Linked DNA regions of Arabidopsis thaliana. The protein of the gene in region 1 purifies or fractionates together with the protein of each later gene. This does not show direct contact. Each region holds a gene or a part of one and is shown in the gene's direction. Other genes may lie near its edges. The genes, in order: MAB1, IAR4 and MTO2.

Evidence for each region.
Region 2: the proteins of MAB1 (region 1) and IAR4 fractionate together in Arabidopsis thaliana (co-fractionation; one large-scale study listed by BioGRID). This does not show direct contact.
Region 3: the proteins of MAB1 (region 1) and MTO2 purify together in Arabidopsis thaliana (affinity purification with mass spectrometry, with the first as the bait; one large-scale study listed by BioGRID). This does not show direct contact.

The regions. Positions count from the first base shown.
Region 1 is NC_003076.8:20,686,831-20,694,071, forward strand, and holds MAB1 (Transketolase family protein), read left to right. Parts: upstream 1-2,412; 5' UTR 2,413-2,700; intron 2,701-2,835; 5' UTR 2,836-2,840; coding exon 2,841-2,882; intron 2,883-3,003; coding exon 3,004-3,066; intron 3,067-3,656; coding exon 3,657-3,737; intron 3,738-3,823; coding exon 3,824-3,850; intron 3,851-3,948; coding exon 3,949-4,011; intron 4,012-4,115; coding exon 4,116-4,202; intron 4,203-4,414; coding exon 4,415-4,540; intron 4,541-4,907; coding exon 4,908-5,041; intron 5,042-5,130; coding exon 5,131-5,203; intron 5,204-5,303; coding exon 5,304-5,369; intron 5,370-5,549; coding exon 5,550-5,588; intron 5,589-5,675; coding exon 5,676-5,800; intron 5,801-5,897; coding exon 5,898-6,012; intron 6,013-6,095; coding exon 6,096-6,146; 3' UTR 6,147-6,640; downstream 6,641-7,241. Other genes in the region: AT5G50840 (alpha-taxilin-like protein), read left to right, coding at 1-66, 589-653, 894-960, 1,069-1,251, 1,429-1,485, 1,586-1,681, 1,778-1,909; AT5G50860 (Protein kinase superfamily protein), read right to left, coding at 6,948-7,241. UniProt on the Arabidopsis thaliana protein: The pyruvate dehydrogenase complex catalyzes the overall conversion of pyruvate to acetyl-CoA and CO(2).
Region 2 is NC_003070.9:8,559,543-8,565,476, reverse strand, and holds IAR4 (thiamine diphosphate-binding fold (THDP-binding) superfamily protein), read left to right. Parts: upstream 1-1,974; 5' UTR 1,975-2,094; coding exon 2,095-2,785; intron 2,786-2,868; coding exon 2,869-2,948; intron 2,949-3,345; coding exon 3,346-3,423; intron 3,424-3,968; coding exon 3,969-4,064; intron 4,065-4,157; coding exon 4,158-4,229; intron 4,230-4,336; coding exon 4,337-4,390; intron 4,391-4,472; coding exon 4,473-4,538; intron 4,539-4,655; coding exon 4,656-4,700; 3' UTR 4,701-5,057; downstream 5,058-5,934. Other genes in the region: SNL3 (SIN3-like 3), read left to right, coding at 1-261, 364-464, 553-691, 783-935, 1,029-1,195, 1,289-1,391, 1,491-1,574, 1,691-1,771. UniProt on the Arabidopsis thaliana protein: The pyruvate dehydrogenase complex catalyzes the overall conversion of pyruvate to acetyl-CoA and CO(2).
Region 3 is NC_003075.7:14,598,503-14,603,037, reverse strand, and holds MTO2 (Pyridoxal-5'-phosphate-dependent enzyme family protein), read left to right. Parts: upstream 1-1,982; 5' UTR 1,983-2,023; coding exon 2,024-3,604; 3' UTR 3,605-3,822; downstream 3,823-4,535. Other genes in the region: AT4G29850 (transmembrane protein (DUF872)), read left to right, coding at 164-353, 1,099-1,220; VIP3 (Transducin/WD40 repeat-like superfamily protein), read right to left, coding at 3,881-4,507. UniProt on the Arabidopsis thaliana protein: Catalyzes the gamma-elimination of phosphate from L-phosphohomoserine and the beta-addition of water to produce L-threonine.

The DNA.
Region 1 (7,241 bases):
AGGGTTTCAACTGAGGGACAGACTTTAAGATCGGATTTATCGACAAAGTTCCAGGATGCTATAATGGTAAGTTGAACACATTTTTCTTTCGATGTGAATTCTTCCCAGGGTTTTGATCTTTGCTGAATATAGAAATTTGAGCCATTTTGCCGTCGGTATTGGCAGTTTTAGAGAGGAACAAGTATTGGATAATAGCTTTGTTTTGTGTTTCTAAGTATGCAAATCTTAAATGCACATCATTTATTGATCCTTGTTATATTTTCTTAGGATATTATCTCCTTTAATCTTCCGTGCTATATGCTTTGGACAGTCATGGCAATATCTTTTTCTTCTTTCTGAAACTCTCTACACTGACATTGGCAAATGTTAGTACCGATCTACACTAAAATTTAGTCCTTGGAAATAATTGGAACTAAACAAAGTAGAAAATTGTCCATATTGGTTTCAAGTTACAGATTGATAGAACTAAGTTTGATGAATTGCTTGCAGGCTTTTGCAACATCAAAAACTTACAAAAACAAAATCAGAATTTATTTGATTGATTTTTTTCTTATGCTCTCTACCTTCCTAATCCTCTTTTGTTTATAGGATGTGAGCATTAAGTTGGACGAGCAAAAGAATGAAAGCCTCACGCAACTCAAAGAAAATGAGATGTAAGCGGAAAGAACTCAATCATAACATGTTCATTTGGAGTAGGAAAATTATAGTATGTTTATTATATATGTATAGTTTTGTTGCAGTTTAAGTTAATACAGTATGAATATGCTCGCCCACATTCTGGAAACTATATTCTTACATGTGTATTGCTTTTAAAACGGCTTTGCTTGTATCAGCTCAGTAACATATTATAAAGGTCCATTCTAATTACAATGGGTTTGTTTCTTAATCTCCAGGTTAAGGACGAAGTTGAAGCACCTGGCTGATCAATTTATGCTTTCAGAACAACAACATGAGCAAAGGGTAATTAAATTATTCGTTTTTTCCAACTATATATGAAGCATGATTTAGCCAAAATAATTGGCTTAACTGCGATGTCTACTTGACAACATCTCATTTTCGAATGGACAGTTGAAGCAGAAAACACTTGAGCTACAGATCTCTGCTTTAAAAATTAAACAGCACGAGGAGAAACTCATCCATGAACAATCTCAGATGAAAGTTTACGCAGATCAAGTTTCTCAGCTTTTGTCTACTGAGAAAAATTTGCGGTTGCAGCTGACTTCTGATGGAGATAAATTCCAGCAGTTCCAGGTCTGCTCTCTTCCCCTTTTACACTTCCTAAATAAGTCTTAATCGTTTTCTCGATGCACTGTGATCACAGATAATAAGATTGCTTGCTTTGGGTGTGATACAATACTCTCTTAAGATATGTTTTTTACTGATATTATATGAAAAGACTGTAAAGTGAAAGGCTGTTTGGTTATGCAGGACGCGTTGGTTAAGAGCAATGAGGTGTTTGAAACATTCAAACAAGAAATCGATAAGGTAATAACAGTTTTATACCTTCGAGGTTCTTTGAAAGATCATAAGTGCTATTTATGTGATCTTATTAACTTGATCCTGTCTCTATTGGTTTTTTGAGTAGATGTCAAAAGCAATCAAAGAACTCAGAAAAGAAAACGCATTCTTGAAAAACAAAACTGAGAAGTCGGATATCACTCTCATAGAACTCGTCGAAGAGGTAAAACAAAACCGTCTGTTCTCTCACTATCTTTAAGGGTTTGTAGATTTTGGTTATGAAACCAGTAAAATCACACTTTTGGTTGACCTTGAACAGCGTGAAAGATTGAAGAAACTGTTGGAGAAGACAAAGAAACAGAAAGACAAGCTTGAATCACTTTGCAGATCCCTTCAAGCTGAAAGAAAACAGAAAGAAACTAACAGTACTGATTCTGCTGTTCAACCATGAAACAGAGAGAGACTATGAATTCAGTGTTTTGCTCTCTTTTTTTCTTTGTCAGAGTTTTGAACTAATTAGCACTTCAGATTACAAAACTACAATTAGACTCCAAATTCACTTTAAAATGTAGAAACATATCACATCATATTGATTCTGCTCTTTTGCGAGCTAAGTCCATTTTATCTCACAAAATGCAAATTGATAATAGTTAATTCAGCTGCAGCTTCTGCAAATCTCCAGGTTCACAAGAGAATGATTCTGCATTCACTAAGTTCACAACCGATTTGGAGAAGAATAGCTACTTCAACATCTGCCATAATGACCAGCTGATTCTTTGCAATCTTAAACCAAACCGAACCGAACCATTTGAACCGAAGAAAAGTTAAACCGATATGGATTATGATTCGGTTTGCATCTTTATGGATTCGGTTAGTTAAAAAAAGCGAATCTCTCTGAATTAAAATAAGTATAACGTCAAATTAAATTTGGTCACATCCACTTTCCTTTACAAACTTCAACAACATCAAATGGAATAATATAATATTGGAAAAGAAAAAGTATATAACGAAATGTCAACCATCGATCATGACCAGCAGATATTAATCGGACGGCTCCTGTACAATTCGATGAAGAAGACCTACTCTCTCATTTATTCAGCTAATTGAAATCATTTCGTTGTGTTTTAGAACAACAACAAAAAAACAGTGCCCTTTCGCTCACGCTTTGAGTCGTATCTGCTCTCTTCTTAATCCGCCGTCTCTCACTTTTTCGCCGGCGTGGTTAGATCGTACAAAGCTCAGGTAATCAAATCTATCTCCGATGTTGATCTACTCTGTTTCTCCGGATTTATGATTTCTCTATTCAATTTCCGATGATTGTTAGATCTACGGGGCTTTTGATCCTGCGATTACTGTTGCTTTTTGTTTGTTAATCAGAGAGAATGTTGGGAATCTTGAGGCAAAGAGCCATCGATGGAGCTTCGGTATGAGACTTTTTTACTCCTTTTATTTGTTTCAGTGCGATTACGATTTTGAGATTTTTACTTGGGAGATTTTTAGGTTCGGATTTTGTTTTCTGATTTTCGAAATTTGGTTTTTGATCAGACTCTTAGGAGGACGCGATTCGCATTGGTTTCTGCTAGGAGCTATGCAGCTGGTGCAAAAGAGGTAAAATGTCTTTTATTGAATTTTCGGATGGTTTAGAAGCGTTATTATACAGGTTTGGTTTTAATGAGCTATTGGAAGATAATTGTGGTCAATTTAGGATGATTAGAGCTGTTAATGTCTGCCAAACCACTTTTCTACTCTAAACTTTTTCTTTGGATGATAGCTTAATGTTGTCTTCTGCAAACTATGTCGATTACTTTTTTTTTTGTGTTCACCGAAATGTCGAGTTTAGCTATATTGGATGTTTTTTGATTTTGTAAACTGTGAGCATCCAAGAAGCGCAAGGGTCGATAATCATTGCATAGATGTTTAAGCCTATTAGCTTTCTCTCATTAGTTCTGACATTGAAAATGGTGGATTGATAGCTGACTCACATAAATAGTGTAGTGACATTTAGAATCCCAACAAGTGTAGCTTAAGTTAGATTTTAATTTACGTTTCGAGAACCCAATTTTTTTTTCATATAGTTGATAAAGCTGATACGGCCGTCAGTCTTTGTTAATATTTGTCAAACATATTTCTCCTTGTATGTGGAATTTCCCAAAATATTGTAATATTGCTTACAATTTTTTGTGCAAATCATTGTTTAGATGACAGTCAGAGATGCTCTAAATTCTGCAATTGATGAGGAAATGTCTGCTGATCCTAAAGTATTTGTCATGGGTGAAGAGGTTAGTTGCAGCTAACATGTTTGATAAATTCATCTTGCAATTTCTAATCAGATATCAATATCTCATCTTTTATCTTGTTATTGTAGGTTGGCCAATATCAAGGTGCCTACAAGGTTAGAATTATTTGACCTGATGGAAATAGATATTTTCCAGTTAAATTTCTCTTGTTTTGACCCTGATCTGATGCTGGAGGTCTATCATGTACTCATAGATCACTAAAGGCCTTTTGGAGAAATATGGTCCTGAGAGAGTTTACGATACCCCTATTACTGAGGTTTGGAATTCTTATACTATTATCTTGTACTGCAGTCTCAATCCTTATTTCCATGTTTCTTGATTGAGAAGATTTCTGACAGTTATCGTTTAACCATGTTTTAGGCTGGATTTACTGGAATTGGAGTTGGTGCTGCCTATGCTGGCTTAAAGCCCGTTGTAGAATTTATGACGTTTAACTTCTCTATGCAGGTTAGCGTTGGTTTTTGTTATATTCTTTGAATACTACATTTTGCCTCTTTCTTTGACTTGATTATGCATAATTGTTGCGTTACTCAGATCATGCACTCTGGTGCAATATGTTTCCAGTTATCGTACACTTTATCTTCTTTCGGACATTAAAGTGCACTAAAGTTCTAATTATTTCCCAATGTGTATCCTAATATCTAGTAATCTTCTTTCAGGCAATTGATCATATCATCAATTCCGCTGCAAAGTCAAATTACATGTCTGCTGGACAGATAAATGTACCCATCGTCTTTAGAGGACCCAATGGTGCTGCTGCTGGTGTTGGAGCTCAACATTCTCAGGTAAACGCTCACCCAAAAAAAATTGAATAATTTGTTACTTTGCATTCTTTCAAAAGAGACCTTCAGCTACTAAACTGATAAAGATATTCATATAGGATGATGGAGCTGGCTTTTACTTTAACATTGATCAAATTTCCCCTAAATAATTGAGGCATTGACTGATTGATTAAGATAAAGGTTCCTATCACAGTAGCATGCAACTGTTTCTCTAAGTAAGATTACACACACATGAAACTATGACTCTGTGGGGCGTAGAATGTTTAATATGATCAGTTCAAGGATACACAAGTTATCTGTGTTTATGACTGCTTGTGGCCTTGTAACTGTATCTCGATGTTAAATGGAGCTTTTCTTCTATATCTTGTAGTGCTATGCAGCGTGGTATGCCTCAGTTCCTGGTTTGAAAGTCCTTGCTCCGTATTCAGCTGAAGATGCTCGTGGTCTTCTTAAAGCTGCCATTAGAGACCCTGACCCTGTTGTCTTCCTTGAAAACGAGTTACTGTAAGTAGTATTCCTAATTTGAGTTCTTGCATGTGATTAGAGCCTACGGTCTCATATCAGTACCTCCTTAAATTGATTTCATCATGCAGATATGGTGAATCATTCCCTATTTCAGAAGAAGCCCTTGATTCAAGTTTCTGTCTTCCCATAGGCAAAGCCAAGGTACTGTCACTCAGTATCTATTGTCTTCTTCTTATGTGTCTCTTTCATCTTTCTTCTATCTAGCAGTTGGATGCTTTAATGTTGTCTTTGCCTATAACAGATTGAACGAGAAGGAAAGGACGTAACGATAGTAACTTTCTCGAAGATGGTCGGTTTCGCCCTCAAGGTTTGCCATTTCCTCCACTTTCCTTTTAGTAATTAAAACTGAGAACGTTCTTGCTAGTTTTATGGCTATAGCTCAAATATTCCTTTTGGATGTTGTTTTGCCTCACATGCTTTGTTTTTACAAACTGGTGTTTCTCTTTGTTCCGTCTTTGAATTATTTATTTAATGTACCTGATTCTAGGCAGCTGAGAAGCTCGCAGAAGAGGGAATAAGTGCTGAGGTATGAAGATTTTTAGATTTCTCTCTTGTAAACCTGCTTAAATCTGATACGTGAACTCTGAACTTTTTTCTTTGTTAAAATGCTTAGGTAATAAATCTTCGATCAATCCGTCCGCTTGACCGAGCCACCATCAATGCTTCAGTGAGGAAAACGAGTAGATTGGTAACAGTTGAAGAAGGTTTCCCACAACATGGAGTCTGTGCAGAAATTTGGTTAACTTCAATTCCTTAATTCAATAGAGATCTTATTATCACCTGGATTGTATAATAGTTTTAAAACACGGATTAAACTTTTTCCGTAATGGATCAGTGCGTCGGTTGTAGAAGAGAGCTTTTCGTACTTGGATGCACCGGTCGAGAGGATTGCAGGAGCTGATGTTCCAATGCCGTATGCAGCTAACCTAGAGAGATTGGCTCTTCCTCAGGTTTGTTTTGTCCCTTCTTTGCATCGAAAACTTGGTTCAATTTTGTCTGTTATTAATGAATTTGAGATGAAATGATTCTGCAGATAGAGGACATCGTTCGTGCATCAAAGAGAGCTTGTTACAGATCGAAATAAAATCGTCAACATCAACACATTTCTTCTTTGATCTTTAAAGGGAAAGGAAAATAAGAAAAAAGGAGAAAAATGATCTCTCTGTCTCTCACTTTTGCTATAAGAAACCACCATTCCTCGTGATTTATTTCATCTTTTGCTATTATTCTTTACTGCAGCGGTTTTCGTTTTTCTTTTTGTCCCTTCCCAAATTGATAATTCTAATCTTTGGGGTTAATTGATAAAAATTGATCGAGAATGCTAGTAAAGGAGTTCACAACACCTGTTTTTCCATCAAATAATGAATGAGGTGTGCCTAATTCATGTCTGATATTCTTTTATTCTCGTATTATTATTTTTGAAAACGGTATTAGTGAGTTAACCTCCAATGACGTTTAGCATATACTTTTGGTGATATAATTGTAATTTGATTTAAACGCTATTGATCAACCTATGGATAAAAAAGGAAAAAGCTTTGGTGTGGAAAAAAAATGTTGATGAAAACGAATTTAAACAAGTTCCAATATTTGAAGCAGCAATCAAAATGTTTGAACATCTATTCACGACAATTTTTAGCAACACTCTTATCACAAGACCAATCTTGGAAGCCTCAAAATCCATTTCAAAAACTATACAATTTAAAAGTAGGATTCTAAAGCTACCTGAATTATGTTTTTACATCAGAGTCAAAATCACATTTTCTATTTGTGCACTCTATTCTGCTACAAAGAATTTGAACTCCTTCAACCATTCTCTCTTGAAACGGAAGCAATCTCTTATTTTGATGCACTAATATAACTCCAACTCATTTCTCAATCATCTTTCCTATCTCCGGATCCCAAAAACTTCTGATCTGCTCCTGAAAAGTAAGTCCATCGATAGCCCGAGTGCTGGAGGAGGTTTAAGTCCCCATATGTACTTTCTAGAAGAAGCCCCACGAGCCCCGTCTTTGTTTGAAATCTTTCTCATTGATGTCCCTTCCCCAGACTTTAATGATCTCGATAACCCAAAAGAAGTCTCAGTCTTTGCACCAAATACTGAGGTTTTCTTTGATAGATCTTCCAATGGGTACCCAACTGCACCGTCCTGGTGAGGAGGCGGAAACTTCTCACTCTTGCT
Region 2 (5,934 bases), on another chromosome or scaffold:
GGTGAAGATCCGGAGGATGATTTGGATAACAATAACAAAGGAGAAAGCGAAGGTGAGGCTGAATGTATGGCTGATGCACATGATGCTGAAGAAAATGGGTCTGCCTTACCCGTTTCAGCACGATTCTTGCTGCATGTAAAGCCCTTAGTAAAGTATGTTCCTTCAGCTATAGCTTTGCATGACAAGGACAAAGACTCTCTGAAGAACTCCCAAGTTTTCTATGGAAATGATTCGTTTTACGTGCTTTTCAGGCTGCACCGGGTAAGAGCTAAAGATCATATACAGTTTGAAAAAATTATAAACAGTATAATCTAAAGTACAAAGAGTTTTCACTAGCTAACTTTACGCTATTACTCTTGACAGATATTGTATGAGAGAATACTATCAGCAAAAGTTAACTCATCATCCCCGGAAGGAAAGTGGAGGACCTCAAATACCAAAAATCCTACTGATTCCTATGCTAGGTGAAATTTGCTTTTTATTGCAGAGATTGTGTGTGTTTCTGGGATTCATATGTGCTCCATACTTATAACTTTAATTAATGTGGAACAGATTCATGACTGCACTCTACAACTTACTTGATGGTACATCTGATAATGCCAAGTTTGAAGATGACTGCCGAGCGATAATCGGGACTCAGTCTTATATTCTCTTCACATTGGACAAACTGATCCATAAATTCATCAAGCATGTGAGTATTTTTGCTCTTTGATGTTTTCTCTATGTATTCACCTCTCTATCTTTACTTGCTTTTTACTAACATACGTGTGGTCATTCTTCAGCTACAAGTAGTAGTAGCTGATGAGATGGACAACAAGCTTCTTCAGCTTTATTTTTATGAGAAATCCAGAAGGCCTGAAACGATTTTTGATGCTGTGTATTACGATAATACCCGTGTCCTCCTCCCTGATGAGAATATTTACCGTATTGAATGTGTAAGTTTTTGCTGCATCTTACATTAGCTACTTATATTCTGTCGATGCACTGCTGATCATGCTTTTGGACTCCAAAACCTCATGTGTATGCAGAGATTATCAACCCCAGCGAAACTCTCTATTCAGCTTATGTGCAACGGTCTTGATAAGCCCGATGTGACATCTGTATCCATTGACCCGACCTTTGCAGCTTATCTCCACAATGACTTCCTCTCCATACAACCAAATGCAAGGGAGGATCGCAGAATCTATTTAAATAGGTAAATGTAAAACATGAACAAATGACTGTCCCTTGATCTCTGAAACCTAGTGGGTCACTCATCAAAGCCAATGCCATTTTTCGTTTTCTCCAGGAACAAGCGCAAAGTTTGTCGTGAAGATGAACAGTTATACAGCACAGATGAAGTTAAGATCAAAAATGGTTTGGAGTGTAAGATAGCTTGCGGTTCTTCAAAGGTAACACTTTTATCTTCTTCCCTATATCACGCTTACCGCTTATGAGTATATCCATGAGAGACCAGCACTTGAAAGCACGTTCTTGAAAATCTCTTGCAGGTCTCCTATGTACTAGAAACAGAAGATTTGTTGGTGCGAGTTAAAAAGAGAAGAAAAACTTTGTGCCACAATCAGGATTCTTGGGTAAGGCAAATGAGGTTACAATATTACAAAAATAACTTCTTGTGACCAGCCTGTAACAATCTGGAAGAAGGATACCAAATCAACTCAACTTGTTCATTCACTCTCCAACTTAACAGAGACAAAACAAAAACAAAAGTGGCAATTCTCCATTGTTGACTTCACCGGATAGAGCCAAACTGCATTCTCTATCTTCATAAGAAGAAGAAGCAACAAAGGATTTGGCTTTTTGTTGTCTGTGACTGAAAAAGAAAACAATCACTCACAAAAATGATGTTACATATGTAAAGTTTGTCTTTATTCACTCTCTTGTTGTAAAGTTTTGTATGTTGTTGTAACATTTATCAAAAATTTCATTTTGTTATGGTATGTTATATAGAAATGAGTCAAATGACCATAAAAGGTTTGACCTTTTCCATAAACGACGCTTCGCCCTCTCCTAACTCTTTCCCTCACTTTAAAAAGATTCGATTTTTGACTGCAAAAAAGAGAATTTCTAAAAGCAAATCGGAGAGCTTCGGCGATGGCGTTATCACGACTTTCTTCACGATCCAACACTTTCCTAAAGCCGGCGATTACCGCCTTGCCCTCCTCCATCCGCCGTCATGTTTCCACAGACTCATCACCGATCACAATCGAAACCGCCGTCCCTTTCACATCGCATCTATGTGAATCACCGTCACGCTCCGTCGAGACTTCATCGGAGGAGATCTTAGCCTTTTTCCGTGACATGGCTCGGATGAGGAGGATGGAGATCGCAGCAGATTCTCTTTACAAGGCGAAGCTGATCCGTGGGTTCTGTCATTTGTACGATGGTCAAGAGGCTTTAGCGGTGGGAATGGAAGCGGCGATTACCAAAAAAGATGCGATTATCACATCGTATCGTGATCACTGTACTTTCATTGGTCGTGGTGGGAAGCTTGTTGATGCTTTCTCTGAGCTTATGGGGAGAAAAACTGGTTGTTCTCATGGTAAAGGAGGATCTATGCATTTCTATAAGAAAGATGCTTCCTTTTATGGTGGACATGGGATTGTTGGTGCTCAGATTCCATTGGGATGTGGTTTGGCTTTTGCTCAGAAGTATAATAAGGATGAGGCTGTGACTTTTGCTTTGTATGGTGATGGTGCTGCGAATCAGGGACAGTTGTTTGAGGCCTTGAACATTTCGGCTTTGTGGGATTTGCCTGCGATTCTTGTTTGCGAGAATAACCATTGTGAGTTTATTTTTTGGTTAATTGTAATTTGTTTGGTGGAATTGTTGAGACTTTTGTGTTGATTTGGATTGTTTGATGTTTAGATGGAATGGGAACGGCTACATGGAGGTCGGCTAAGTCTCCGGCTTATTTCAAGCGTGGAGATTATGTTCCTGGCTTGAAGGTGAGACTGAGTTGTCTTTTGGCATGATCTTGAGCTTTACAATGCTTTTGCTTTGATGAGACTGAGTTGTCTATAGCACGCTTTTAGTTGATACAGGGTTTCCTTGTGTGTTTTAGACCACTGGGTCGACTATGGAACAGCTAGGTAGTGAGGATAGGGTTTTAGACACAAATTGAATGAGAAAGGACAAACCTTCACAGTTGTGTGTTCGGATCAAGTGTAACTTTGTGAGAACTACCAAAAGGAATTGTCTCCAAAGTCTCTATCTTTGTTGTTTTACAGAAGTTGCTTCAGTTTTTTATTACTTTACCCAATAGAATTGTATCCGTTGTTTTTCTGATTGGTGAGAGTGTGAACTTAAAGCTAACGAATGATTATCTTTTGCTTTGTTTTCTAGGTGGATGGTATGGATGCACTGGCTGTGAAACAGGCGTGCAAGTTTGCCAAGGAGCATGCTCTCAAGAATGGTCCTATTGTAAGTATTACAGCTGCTCCTGTTGGTTTTATGAAATCGATACCTAATCAATATGACTCTTAGCATTTTATGCAAATTAAGAATTCGTAGAATCATTTATTACTTGCATGTGTGATGCTACTTTGGTTGGGGAGAATGGTTAGCTGGTAACTTCTACCTAGCCTAGATTTGGATTGAACGAGGTTTATTTGGAGAAAACAAGACTTCTTAAGTACCTATGTTGTTAATTTGTTTGCTGTTTCCGGGAGAGTGTGACAGGCGTGATTGACAAGCTCCTAGGATTTCTATTAAAAGTACTAGATAAGTAGATATCACTAATATCTCTTGGAGTTTTTGGTGTGTACCTACTTATGAAGTGAAATTATACCATGTTGACTTCAGCTTCCAACCAATTTTCCTTTTTTGCATTTTGTCACCAACACAAATGGGACAAGCATTTTGGATCTTGTGAATTCAATCACATAGCGTTGACATTTATCGTATTTTTATAATCCATTCTCTACCTAGTGATTATGACCAACATACCATTGCCATTATTTGCGCAGATCCTTGAGATGGACACTTACAGATACCACGGTCACTCTATGTCTGACCCAGGAAGCACTTACCGTACTCGTGATGAAATCTCTGGCGTGAGACAGGTTAGTTCTTTGTTCATTTGTAAGACTACTGCTCCAACCATATGCAATTTGAAACTTTTTAATCTGTAAAGTTTTCATCGGTGTTACCTTTAGGTGCGTGATCCAATTGAAAGGGTGCGAAAGTTGCTCTTAACTCATGACATAGCTACCGAAAAAGAGCTTAAGGTACCCTGTTCACCACCTTCCCATTCCAGACAAAAAGCTTGAAAAAAATTATACATACAACCATCAAACTTGACTATGGAAATGACAAAATTCTTTTGACATTAAAGGACATGGAGAAAGAGATAAGGAAAGAAGTAGATGACGCCGTAGCTCAGGCCAAGGTAATAATCTTAATTGTTTCTATCTTTGTCCTTGTTATTTATCAAAACACGAACTAATTCCTTGCTGTTTAACTTGTTTCAGGAGAGCCCGATACCAGATGCATCTGAGCTATTCACAAACATGTACGTGAAAGACTGCGGAGTTGAGGTACTATCACATCCCACTCTTTCACATCTATTTATTTCTTTTGTAACCCTGTGGCGTTGGTAGTTGTTGGCATATGAATCTAGAGATTTACGCATTTTCCTCCATTGAAATTTGCAGTCGTTTGGAGCAGACAGAAAAGAACTCAAAGTAACACTTCCATAGAATCTTGCTTCCCAAGGAGATGATTGGTTCAATAAATCAGAAGGCAAGGCTACACAAATCTTTTTAACTTGCTACCAAAAATATTTCTGGTTTTTTTTTTTTGTATTTTCATTTCAAGTGTAAAGCCATTGCTTCACCAGTTTGCCAACTTTTGTTTCCCACACTTCAATTTGACACCAAGCAAAAGAAGCTTCGGATATCACTCTGTGAGATAAAGTTAGAGAAATAAGCAGAGAGTAGTTAAGAGAAAGATCATCAGCTTCTTTGTCTCAAGTAGAAAAATGTCGACATGTGATTACAAAATCATCAAGACCCCGTGTTAAATTCGTTATCTAATATATATAAAAATAAAAAGGCAAAACCAACTTCTGCGTCGGTACCAATAAAACCACATGAATAGTTATGTCTCCACCACCTAACTTGAATAATCTTTGCTTCTACTCTACAAGTCCCTTTCTCATCATCCCCCACATCAACACCAAATCTTATTGAATAGGTAAACTCTATGACGCCACTCACTCTCTTTCTTAATACTTAAATTAGATTAGATTTCTTGCAACAACTAATCACTACAAAAGAACATTGATGATTGATTGCTTTTTCCTTTGTTAACCAAGCATTTGGTTCTCTCTGTAAGCCAATAGAAACCAAACAAACCTTTGCTTAGTTTTTTACTCGGTAAATAATTAGTTTGACAAGTAACAAGTTTATATATTATATAGTGTTCAGTGTTTTAACTTATTCAAGAATATTCTCTCTATATCATCAAATCAAATATGTTCAACGGAATCTTCATCGTGTTCTCTTCTCATATCCGAGAAAAAGTCCTTAAGAAAAACTCGAGAAAGTGATACATGAATGGTATTATTGAAAATGTTATTCATATAATAAGATGTTACGTCTGACCATGAGCTGCACTACCCAACGGGAATATTCGGATTTAATTGGCTTGGTAGTCGCTACCAACAGCCCAATAATATATATACTAACACTAAGAAGAGAACAAAACTTCAACTTTAATATCCCAATAAAATGTGCCGACAACAAAAACATATATATTTTCTAATGAAATTTCTGAGAAAACAAATTATGAATGATAGTCACGAGTCTTATTCGTCGGTGAAACCATAGTTTAAAAAACTATCCTAACATTTGATATTGATTTCTCTTAAAATTCTTGTACTAGTTTCTACAAATTGTGAAATTGCATTAACTTTTATAACAGTAAATCATT
Region 3 (4,535 bases), on another chromosome or scaffold:
AAACTAATCCGTCACCGTCGTAGGAGACTCATAACATCTGAAGACCTAAAATTCAAACAGTACGATTTCATCTTTCTCGAGCTCTAGATCAATCGTCATTCTGCTTTCTTCTAGATCGGTCCTGATTGTTTCCCATTGATCTTTGATCCGGAAGCTGTGTAAAATGGCGTACGTCGACCATGCGTTCTCGATAACGGACGAGGACATTATGATTGAGACTTCATACACCGTCAATAACCGACCGCCGGTGAAGGAGATCGCACTCGCGGTGGCTTTACTCGTGTTCGGAACCCTAGGAATTGTCTCCGGTTTCTTCATGGCTTATAATCGAGTTGGCGGTGATCGAGGCCACGGTAGCGATTTCTTCACCTTTCTTACTTATTCCACATTTATTGATCCAGTCTTGGAGTAGAAATTGGGAATTCATGAGAGAATATGTGGGACTTATCTTTGCTAGTTTGAGAGATTTAGAAAACAGTAATTGATTTCAGCTAGATTGTTTTAGGAATTTTTTTAGATTTGGTGAAGTTATGTTATAATTTTGGTAATTAAGCTGATAGATATAGATTGCAAGTGCTCTGGTTAGCTACGGTGGAGTGTAATTTCGTTTCAGCTTGGCCTTTTGCTCTCTGTTTTCTGGAGATTTGGATGAATAGACACAAGTTTTCCAAAGGCATACGATTTGATTTCATTGTTAGAATGATTAGTAAACTTCCGATAGAAACTAGTATATGATGATTCTAAGCTTCTCTTATCTGTGAGATAAAAAAGGGAAGGATCTCCGTTGGATTCCATTAACTTTTTAGATCACTATCATCACATACTGTTATTGATATATCCCAATTCTGCTTGTAACATAGACATGAGATTCACTTCAAATTAGCTAGTTTGCTCTTCTTCCTCTGGGCTTGTAATTCATTAATGCATTTCATACATCCCCAATGCAATACTGCAAAGCGAAAGCAAGTATCAGCATTGTACTTAAACTTGATTTCATTTGATTTGCTGTTTTCTTCCGTTTTGCCGGAACTACTTCTTTCTCATCATTGCATCAATGACCTATCATTCTCTGTTTGATATTTTTGATGGTGAAACCAGGGATTTTCTTCATCGTCCTCGGGTGTCTTCTGTTCATTCCCGGGTTTTACTATACACGGATTGCGTATTATGCTTACAAAGGATACAAAGGTTTCTCCTTCTCAAACATACCGCCCGTTTAGGTGTCCCCTTTTGAATCTCTCCTACTCAAAATGTATAGAGATGTTTTATTACTCTATAGCAATGATTGACTTGTTTTCTCTTTTGTGTAGTTTTATAGAATTTGAGTCCAGTCCTTTCTTACTTTCTCCTTCTTCTTGTCAAATAAATTCGAGTCTGTGACAGTTTAGTCAGATTTATACTTACATATCTATAAATATACACCCGGTTCAAATTGATATTTGTTTCTATAAAGATTTCCAATTCGAACCAAGTAATATGGGATACTTGGAGTGTTCACATGTTGCTTTCAGATGTAATTGTTCATTTTCCATCAAATTCCTCTGGATGCAGTATTTAATTGATTACAAATTTGGCCAACTTACACATTGTTACTACTAGAGTTTCAATCTATATCATGATGGTGTATTGGTGTTATATCAAAATTAAAACGTGATTCTTATGTGAATTTTTATGTTCAACATTATTGTTTTCTTTGGGTCAAATGTAACCTTTTATCTTTTTGTCATCAACATGAATGTTCCTTATAACATGCACTTTATTAGCCTGTTTAAAGCAAAACGTGACAAAACATAAATATTCAATTGCTATATACGGAAAGCGATCCAGATATTTGAATGATTAATGGGCCCAAAATATCTCTCTACGTCACATACATAATCCCAATTAACCTAAAAGCTTAAACCGACTAGCCGGTTCTAAGACATTTCCGGTTTAAGTATCTGAATATAGTTTTCTCTCTCTCTCACTCGTGTCCTCTCCTCAAAATCCTCAGCCGCATCTCACTTCTCATTCTCTAGAAAAAATGGCTTCGTCTTGTCTCTTCAATGCCTCTGTATCGTCCTTAAACCCTAAACAAGACCCCATCCGCCGCCACCGGTCAACCTCTCTCCTCCGCCACCGCCCCGTCGTCATCTCCTGTACCGCCGATGGCAACAACATCAAAGCCCCGATCGAGACAGCGGTCAAGCCTCCTCACCGTACCGAGGATAACATTCGAGATGAGGCTCGTCGTAATCGTTCCAACGCCGTGAATCCATTTTCAGCTAAATACGTTCCGTTTAATGCAGCTCCTGGATCCACGGAGTCTTACTCTCTCGACGAGATCGTGTACCGTAGCCGCTCCGGTGGTTTGCTTGATGTCGAACACGATATGGAGGCTTTGAAGCGATTCGATGGCGCGTATTGGCGTGATCTCTTCGATTCGCGTGTTGGTAAAAGCACATGGCCTTATGGATCGGGTGTTTGGTCGAAGAAAGAGTGGGTTCTTCCTGAGATCGATGACGACGACATCGTTTCAGCTTTTGAAGGAAACTCGAATCTGTTCTGGGCAGAGAGATTTGGTAAGCAGTTTCTAGGTATGAATGATCTGTGGGTGAAACACTGTGGGATTAGTCATACAGGAAGTTTCAAGGATCTTGGAATGACTGTTTTGGTTAGTCAAGTTAATCGTCTGAGAAAGATGAAACGACCTGTGGTTGGTGTCGGATGTGCTTCCACCGGAGATACTTCTGCTGCTCTATCTGCTTACTGCGCCTCCGCTGGAATCCCATCGATTGTGTTTTTACCGGCGAACAAGATCTCTATGGCTCAGCTGGTTCAGCCGATAGCTAATGGTGCGTTTGTTTTGAGTATTGACACTGATTTTGATGGGTGTATGAAGCTGATTAGAGAGATAACTGCGGAATTGCCGATTTATTTGGCGAATTCGTTGAATAGTTTGAGGTTAGAAGGGCAGAAAACTGCAGCTATTGAGATTTTGCAGCAGTTTGATTGGCAAGTTCCTGATTGGGTGATTGTTCCTGGAGGTAACCTAGGAAACATCTATGCCTTTTACAAAGGGTTTAAGATGTGTCAAGAACTGGGACTTGTCGATAGGATCCCGAGGATGGTCTGTGCACAAGCAGCTAATGCTAATCCTCTTTACTTGCACTACAAGTCTGGTTGGAAGGACTTCAAGCCCATGACTGCAAGTACCACTTTCGCCTCTGCGATTCAGATCGGTGACCCTGTCTCCATCGATAGAGCTGTGTACGCTCTCAAGAAGTGCAATGGTATTGTAGAAGAAGCCACAGAGGAGGAGCTGATGGATGCGATGGCTCAAGCGGATTCGACAGGAATGTTTATCTGTCCTCATACAGGTGTTGCTCTAACTGCTCTGTTCAAGCTGAGGAATCAAGGAGTGATTGCACCGACTGATCGAACTGTGGTAGTGAGTACTGCTCATGGGTTGAAGTTTACTCAGTCTAAGATAGATTATCACTCCAATGCCATCCCTGACATGGCTTGCAGATTCTCCAATCCTCCTGTTGATGTGAAAGCAGATTTCGGAGCTGTCATGGATGTTCTCAAGAGTTACTTAGGAAGTAATACACTTACGTCATAAGAGACAAGACCATAATCTTTAGCTGTTTTGTTTTTTGAAAACTTTTAGACGTTTGTTTGCGTTACTCTTCAACTCATCTCTCTGTGATCTTTATCTGTTTCTCAGTTTTCCAATAAAGTTCTATCGCAAAGTTTGAATCATTTTATCTTCTTTGTTTTTTGTGTAAGCGATAAATCTAAAGACTCCGGTCAAAATCAACCTGTTGCAGATTATATTGTTACAACTAGATGCGTCTTGGAGAATGCATAAAAGAAAAAAGTCAAAAAACCGAATTGTTCATGAGTAATCATAGAGCGATACACTCTTGTCATCAGAGACACTAGCAAGTCGACCAGCCCGGACACCGGTTCCACCTGGTGGTCTAAAGGCCACAGACCAAACCTGGTCATTGTGGTTGCTCATTGTCTGAATCGCAGCTCTCATTTTAAGATCCCATAGCCTCACAGTTCTATCGCTTGAGCCGGTTGCTATGGCTCCACCGTCTGGGCTAGCATCAACGCTCAGCACCCAACTCGTGTGCCCTGACATGGACCCCAACAGCGTTTTCCCTTCTGCATCGTGCATGTTCACATGCCCATCATCTGATCCAGAGAAGAGGACTCTCGGGTCTACAGGGGAGAACACAAGGGACCTTACAGGCATATTGTGACCTTCTAGCTGGTGAAGTAGCTTTGAGCGGTCAACATCAAAAACACAGATCGTACCATCCATTGAACCACAAGCAAGTCGTTTCCCATTAGGAGACCAAGCCACCGAGAGAACGAATTTCTTGCTGCTGGTTTTATCGGAAGGTTTTGGTGCATCTGGGCGTGGGATTGATAGAGTTGAGATTAATCTCCAGCTTGCAGTGTCCCAAAGCTTGACTGAGGCACTACTTCCACCTGCAACAGCAAGGATCGTACCCTTGGAACATGTAAAATACTATGTTAGC